Drosophila melanogaster: one gene and its partner. The protein of the gene in region 1 purifies or fractionates together with the protein of each later gene. This does not show direct contact. Each region holds a gene or a part of one and is shown in the gene's direction. Other genes may lie near its edges.

Region 1 (4,704 bases):
GAGGAACACAGGAAATATGTGCTTTGACGACAGGCAGGCGGACTTTTTTGGCAGGAAAGCATCTACTGAGGAGCGCAACAGCTTATAGGGCTTTCGAAGTCCACTTGGATAGTTCTCAACGATGGCCATGCTGTCAAGCACTTGACGAGGCAGGAAACTGTGAGATGCAGGCACTTGAACAAGGTTGCTAAAGTTTTTGGCAACAATCGCTTGCAGCTCGAACTCGCTGCCCTTTGTCTCCAGGTGAATACACTTTAGGTGGACGTGGCGTAGGTGAGCGAATATCAGGTAATAGTGGGCATAAGTCGCAGTGCCCACCAACTCTGCGTTCACCTCGATGCGGTAGGTATGTCCACGATGCATGAGTCGAGGTGTATTGAAATAGTTGCTCAGGATGACCTCTGTCAGTTCGGCGGGAAGTTCATGGGGATCTGCGACTAAGTACACATGTGCTTTGGTTGCTATTCCAGGTATTGTCTGCTCATCGGCAAAATGCTCTACCTGCACCCAGCAGTTGGAGCGGATTTGAAAGCGATCCAATATGTTGCCGTAGAAGTTCTCCTGAAATTTTACACGATGTAGAATTATAGAAAATATTCCATTTATTTAGAACTAGATACCCACCTGAACGTACAGACAATTGGGTTGGCACTGTGCAGCCGGCAAGATCTGGGCCACAATCGTATGCGGCGCCTCCTGGAGCATTTGCTTGATAACCGTTTGGGTCATATTTCCTTCGTCTGAAGCTAGCGGCTTACCGATTCTTACCCTCCTGCCGCGGATAACCAAGTTGACAAAGTTGACGTCCGGCGATTCCGCATAGTTTTCGTACACCTCCTGACTGGCGAACACCAGGTGCTCCGACTTAATCTGCTCGTTCTTGATCAGCAGATCGTAGAGGCGGTTCGGAATGGGGGTCAGCAGAAACTTGCCCTTGTAATATTTGGCGTAACGCCAGTATACGGCGTATGTCAGATATCCGGGGTAGAGGAACCAGGGCCACTTGGGCGCCAGCAGCTGTATGGCCGAATTGTAGCCCTCGACTAGCTCCTGTACTCTCCCAGAGAAGCTAAATCTCGGCTGTCCTGGATCTTGTTGATCGAACGACACCGAATTCCGCTTGCCGACGACTTTTTTCTGCGGGAATTGATCACGATATTAGCTAATATGGCTTAAATGTTACATATGGACCTACCGCATCATCATTTTCATTCATTTTTTACAATAAATATGGACTAAACACAACAGAAAGCACGAGTACAAGGGTTAATTTCGAGGAGGCGGTGTCAAAGTTCAAGGAGTTGGGGGATAGGCGCCAGACAAATACACTGAAATATGCAATGGCAAGTTAATTCTGTTAATGCACAGCAAATTATTACCCTCTGCTATAAAAATTAGCTTGTTTATTTGGCCAGTTACTTTGTATTTTACCTTTTTCACAATTACTCTCCTCTTCATTACGAATGTTTTGATTCTGGTAAGATATTTGCTCAAAAAATACTAAAAGTATTCAGTCAGCTGTCCACAGTAAGACCTTTATAAGCACATCTTCAAATAATTTCTTTGACCTGCATAAAAGTTAAATATTAATTTTGTAGTAAAATGAAAGAATGAAATATGTCATTATATTTTAAGTAATTCCAAAAATTGGCAAAAAGATATAATTTATAATGTATTAATACAATTTATTTTTAGAATCCGTCTTCGCTAGTGGCTACTGTATATTTTGACTGTACTTGGTGCATTTTAGTATATTTCATTCTCCACTTGGCCGTTTTCAACCGATGCCAACCTGGTCACACTTTTCCACGCATAACAAAATAGTACACAAGTTCCATATATTTCAATTTTCCGCGAAAATGAGCCTGGAAGTGAGCAATATAAACGGGGGAAACGGTACTCAATTGTCCCACGACAAGCGTGAGCTGCTGTGCCTGCTGAAACTCATCAAAAAGTACCAGCTGAAGAGCACTGAGGAGCTGCTCTGCCAAGAGGCGAATGTGAGCAGTGTGGAATTGTCGGAAATCAGCGAAAGTGATGTTCAGCAGGTGCTGGGCGCAGTTTTGGGAGCTGGCGATGCCAACCGGGAGCGGAAACATGTCCAATCTCCGGCGCAGGGTCATAAACAGTCCGCGGTGACGGAGGCCAATGCTGCAGAGGAACTGGCCAAGTTCATCGACGACGACAGCTTTGATGCTCAGCACTATGAGCAGGCATACAAGGAGCTGCGCACTTTCGTTGAGGACTCCCTGGACATATACAAGCATGAGCTGTCCATGGTTCTGTACCCAATTCTGGTGCAGATCTACTTCAAGATCCTCGCCAGTGGACTAAGGGAGAAGGCCAAAGAATTCATTGAGAAGTACAAATGCGATCTCGACGGCTACTACATAGAGGGTCTTTTCAACCTTCTTTTGCTGTCTAAGCCCGAGGAGCTGCTGGAGAATGACCTCGTAGTAGCCATGGAGCAGGATAAGTTTGTCATTCGCATGTCCAGGGACTCGCACTCTCTGTTCAAGCGACACATTCAGGATCGCCGGCAGGAAGTGGTGGCAGATATTGTTTCCAAGTACTTGCATTTCGACACATACGAGGGCATGGCGCGCAACAAGCTGCAGTGCGTCGCCACCGCGGGCTCGCACCTCGGAGAGGCCAAGCGACAGGACAACAAAATGCGGGTGTACTACGGACTGCTCAAGGAGGTGGACTTTCAGACTCTGACCACTCCAGCGCCGGCACCAGAGGAGGAGGACGATGATCCGGATGCCCCGGATCGTCCGAAAAAGAAAAAGCCAAAAAAGGATCCCCTGCTGTCGAAAAAGTCCAAGTCGGATCCGAATGCTCCATCCATCGACAGAATTCCCCTGCCGGAACTGAAGGATTCGGACAAGTTGCTAAAGCTTAAGGCTCTCAGGGAAGCCAGCAAGCGTTTAGCCCTCAGCAAGGATCAACTGCCCTCTGCCGTCTTCTACACGGTGCTTAATTCCCATCAGGGCGTAACCTGTGCCGAGATTTCAGACGATTCCACGATGTTGGCCTGTGGATTTGGCGATTCTAGCGTGAGGATTTGGTCATTGACGCCCGCGAAGCTGCGTACGCTGAAGGATGCAGATTCCCTTCGCGAACTGGACAAGGAATCGGCGGATATCAATGTGCGTATGCTGGATGACCGAAGTGGTGAGGTAACCAGGAGCTTAATGGGTCACACCGGACCCGTATACCGCTGTGCCTTTGCCCCCGAGATGAACCTGTTGCTCTCATGTTCCGAGGACAGCACCATAAGGCTGTGGTCTCTGCTCACCTGGTCCTGCGTAGTCACCTACCGCGGGCACGTTTACCCGGTGTGGGATGTTCGCTTTGCGCCGCATGGCTACTATTTTGTTTCTTGTTCGTACGACAAAACTGCTCGTCTGTGGGCCACGGATTCCAATCAAGCGTTGCGCGTATTCGTGGGTCACTTGTCGGACGTGGATTGTGTACAATTTCATCCCAATTCCAATTATGTGGCCACCGGTTCTAGCGATCGCACGGTACGCCTGTGGGACAACATGACCGGTCAGTCGGTACGCCTGATGACGGGCCACAAGGGATCGGTGAGTTCTCTGGCCTTCTCCGCCTGCGGCCGGTATCTGGCCTCGGGTTCAGTAGATCACAATATCATCATCTGGGATCTGTCGAACGGATCCCTGGTCACCACCCTGTTGAGGCACACTAGCACTGTGACCACGATCACCTTTAGTCGCGATGGAACAGTCCTGGCTGCAGCCGGCTTGGATAACAATCTAACTCTGTGGGACTTTCACAAGGTTACCGAAGACTATATCAGCAATCACATCACTGTGTCGCACCATCAGGATGAGAACGACGAGGACGTCTACCTCATGCGTACTTTCCCCAGCAAGAACTCGCCATTTGTCAGCCTGCACTTTACGCGCCGAAATCTCCTGATGTGCGTGGGTCTATTCAAGAGTTAGGAGCACAGATAAGCTTATTTGGTATACGTAATGTAGTGTTAAGGAATGCTCGGAATGTTTAGGATTAATGTTTTGTATTTCGTTTGTGACCCATCCCCCCTGAAATGTCGATTAGTTGTTTAAGCATAAAAGTGTAAAGTGCATATATGCGCAAGTTATCAATAAATTTTAATTAATATAAAAGTCAATCATTAAGGTTCTTATATATAATTCATATTTATTTAAAAGTCATATAAAGCATATACACAGATAAATACGTAGCTGTACGATTTGCCTACTCTGCATCAGGGATTCCAAACGTTCGGCGCACGGCTATCGAGTTCTTGATGTTAAAGATCGCACAGCGCGGAGGCTTCTCTCCGCCGAAGGCCAGGGTGTAGGGATCCTCGGGGCACTGGCGCATGCACTGCAAGCGACCCATGTTGAACTCGTGCTCGTAGACGTGCTTTGCCTCTGTGCCATCAAAGTTCCACACCTTTAGGGTGCCCTCCGTGGAGGTGGAGGTCAGCAGATTAGGCTTCTGGTTGTTGAAGCACACACCGGAGATTTCCTCGTTGTGGGCCTTTACGGACCACAGCAGTTGTCCAGGAGAACGTTTGTCGGCGTAATGCAAGGTGCCATCGTTGGTGCCCACGATGAAGTAGTCGGTCTGTGTGGGATGCCACAGGACCTTCTCCACTTCACCGTCAACTTTCCACTCAATGCTGGACGAGTTGACGCCCTCAGCGTC
Region 2 (3,667 bases), on another chromosome or scaffold:
CTTGCCGACAGTCGCAGTTGCAGCTTACGCTTTTGGTAAAGATGTACATACTGGAGTTTTGCCCAAATTTGTAGGCGCGGGCGTGACACGCCCGACATGCTTCATGCGCCGACCTTGCAGTTGATGCTTAAGTGTTCGGGGCTTTCGTGCTGCATAGTTGTGCACGCAGCCATCTCTTGGCCGTACGAAACTGGTTTTGTTTCCTTTGCCCGCCTAGATGCTACCCACATAAATATGCAAACAAGCGCCGTATGTATGTGAGACCGTAGTCCGTAGTACATGGTCTCAGACCTAGCCAGCTATGACGGATAAGTTGTCATTAACCATAATGACGCGTGCGGAGCGGGTCAAATATTTGGCAACCGTGTTCTAACGAATTTCGTTGGTTTTTCCTTAGGCGTACGAATGAAATCGGCAACAAAACAGAGGCACGATGCCGCGCAAGTTGCTTAAATTCCTTATCATCTTCGACAACACTTCCCTCCTGTACTTCCCGGGCCAGTTTCTCTCCGGACGGGTTCTAATCGAATTGCAGGATGAGACGCCTGCTTTGGGACTTCATTTCCATGTGGTAGGCGAAGGGGTCGTGCGCAACGGGCGGCGACAGGAGCGGACATACGATAAGGAGAACTATATCGACTTTCGGATGCGACTTCTGGGGGACGTAGACCAAGGAGGTCCAGCTATACTCTCGCCAGGAATTCACAGCTTCCCCTTCAAACTCGGCTTGCCACTGGGTCTTCCATCTACATTTCTCGGTCGGTACGGCTGGATTCAGTTCTACTGCAAGGCGGCGCTCCGCGAGAACAATGGCATTATCCATAAGAACCACCAGGTCTTCATTGTGATGAATCCCATCGACCTAAACCTTGAAAAGCCCATCTTAGCAGTAAGTAGCTTTAAAAACCCTGTTTAAAAAAACTAACCTTTCGCCTGACTCAGCAACCGTTCACCTGCGAAGTTGAGCACAAGCTAGGCGTCGTCTGTGTTGGTGGAGGTCAGATAAAGTGCAGAGTGTCCCTTGATCGCGGTGGGTATGTGCCCGGCGAGAATATTCTGGTCACCGCATTTATATCCAACTACAGTAATGTGTCCATTAAACGGACTAAGGCATCCCTCACTGAGGTCGGTATCGCTTTCAAGTGGCTAGTTACAATTCATCCATTTTGATCTTATTTGGATTTTATTTAGACCATCGAGTATTTGGCGCGGGGGAAGGTGGTGCAAACGGAAAAACGGGAGCTGGCTGTTTTAGTTCGTGGCAAGATCCGTCCGGGGGCCAAAGACGAGTGGCACAACGAGCTTTACGTTCCACCCCTGCCGCCGACCAATCTTCATGGCTGCCACCTGATCAAAATATCCTACGACGTCTTCTTCGTGATCGAACCCAAGTCCATGGAGAAGGAGATTAAGCTACAGCTTCCTATCGTGCTTGCGACGTACCCCTTTCGACACTCCGGTGATGCGGTCAATGCCAACACCTGGCCGGAATCGGTGCTTAAGCCGGACACGCACACCCACTATCCGTCCACACTACCCATATTCCGGCCCTGGCTGCACGAGAAGCCTATCGAGGCATAGCCCGCAGCTTTTAGGATTGCTGTGTATCACAACTTGTTAAGACCGATTTGCGCCATACAACAATTTAAACTTATTTAACTTATACTTAACGTTTTTTAATGTTTCTGGTCTTTGCATTTGTAGGTCTTCCGTTCCCAAAAATTTGTTCATGATTGAAGAATTTATAACAAATACAAACGAAAGTTAACATAAAGACCAGACTTTGATAAATTATAATTAGCTCATATACATAACTTTTTATAAAACCTAAATATTGTAGGTTATATATTATTAAAATGGTAAAACTGCACTCATTAACCTTCTAACTACTACTAAATGGTTATAATAATAATAATAATCCCAAAAGTATGGTTGTTGAAATTGAAATAAATTGTTTAAAACGTTACAGCCTAAAGTATGCTATTAAAAAGCTGGCTTGTTCGGAATTTAAATTCGCGAAATTAAGTATTGATTCCAAAACTAAAAAGGGCCACACTGCACGTTAAGATGACAACAATTATATTAGTCCTCTTTATTTGGATAGTTTTATTCAATGACGTATCCAGCGACTGTGGCTGCCAAAAGCTCGACCGGAAGGCCCCGGATATGCCGTCCATTTCCGGACAAGTGTGCCAGCAACGAGCACAGGGTGCACACAGCCACTACCGGGATTACTATGGCGAACTGGAGCCAAATATTGCGGACATGTCACTGCTTCCGGGAGGCACGGTTTACATGGGTACTGACAAACCGCACTTTCCGGCCGACCGCGAGGCTCCGGAACGGCAGGTGAAGCTGAATGACTTCTACATCGACAAGTATGAGGTTTCCAACGAAGCCTTTGCGAAGTTTGTTCTGCACACTAACTACACCACGGAGGCTGAGCGATATGGCGACAGTTTTCTGTTTAAGAGCCTTTTGAGCCCATTGGAGCAGAAGAACCTAGAGGACTTCCGAGTGGCGAGCGCTGTCTGGTGGTACAAAGTGGCCGGCGTGAACTGGCGACATCCAAATGGCGTGGACAGCGATATAGACCACTTAGGCCGACACCCGGTAGTGCACGTATCGTGGCGCGACGCTGTGGAGTACTGTAAGTGGGCCGGCAAGCGGTTGCCCAGCGAGGCGGAGTGGGAGGCGGCTTGCAGGGGCGGCAAGGAGCGCAAACTGTTTCCCTGGGGCAACAAGCTGATGCCAAGGAATGAACATTGGCTGAACATCTGGCAGGGAGACTTTCCCGATGGCAACCTGGCTGAAGATGGGTTTGAGTACACCAGCCCCGTGGATGCCTTCCGACAGAATATTTACGACCTGCACAACATGGTGGGCAACGTCTGGGAGTGGACGGCAGATCTGTGGGACGTAAATGACGTTAGCGATAATCCAAATCGGGTCAAGAAGGGCGGTTCTTATCTGTGTCACAAGTCCTACTGCTACAGGTACAGGTGCGCGGCACGCTCGCAGAACACAGAAGACAGTTCAGCCGGTAACCTGGGTTTTCGGTGCGCCAAGAATGCGTGAGTTGTCATCGTGGGAAATTCCTCACAACTCTTTTATTTTTACAAATACAACAAATTAACCAAATATAAAGACTTTCATTCGAAATGTACGTCTTGTCGCTTCGCGTAATACATATGTGCGAAGTCCTCCACATTCTGGTACTTGGGATAAACTGAAGACGAGAGAAGTCGTCGTTTCTCTATTAGGCGGAACCGGCTGTCATCTACTGGGAAGTTTATATGAACATTAATTACAAATCAGTTTTATGTTCAGCCATGGGACACACATCTTACAACATAAATTTAAATAAGGCAATAGGGCTTCATTTGAATAACTGAAATTTCATTCAATACTGATTTTTCTATTACAATTTTTTAAATAAAAACGTCACAAATTAGGAATTACTTTAAATCCGTACATTTTGAACTGAAACTGTCGATTATTAAGTTTTTAGCTCAAGGAAAAATTGGGAATGTCAATTGTTTAAAGAAAAGAGCAAAAAGAGCTATCGATTACTATCGATACATACTAAGCCATCGATGGCTTTTTTATAAAAGTCGGCGCTGAAATTACCTTGTAAGAAATGCTTTTAAGTTAAAGATCTTTCTGT

What was found.
Region 2: the proteins of Taf5 (region 1) and CG7049 purify together in Drosophila melanogaster (affinity purification with mass spectrometry, with the first as the bait; one large-scale study listed by BioGRID). This does not show direct contact.

Annotation. Positions count from the first base shown.
Region 1 is NT_033778.4:10,876,761-10,881,464, reverse strand, and holds Taf5 (TBP-associated factor 5), read left to right. Parts: upstream 1-1,791; 5' UTR 1,792-1,859; coding exon 1,860-3,974; 3' UTR 3,975-4,153; downstream 4,154-4,704. Other genes in the region: Pex6 (peroxin 6), read right to left, coding at 1-561, 625-1,137, 1,432-1,458; nclb (no child left behind), read right to left, coding at 4,249-4,704. UniProt on the Drosophila melanogaster protein: TFIID is a multimeric protein complex that plays a central role in mediating promoter responses to various activators and repressors. May play a role in helping to anchor Taf4 within the TFIID complex.
Region 2 is NT_037436.4:174,604-178,270, reverse strand, and holds CG7049 (uncharacterized protein), read left to right. Parts: upstream 1-2,042; 5' UTR 2,043-2,067; coding exon 2,068-3,078; 3' UTR 3,079-3,159; downstream 3,160-3,667. Other genes in the region: Vdup1 (vitamin D[[3]] up-regulated protein 1), read left to right, coding at 434-889, 943-1,125, 1,192-1,581.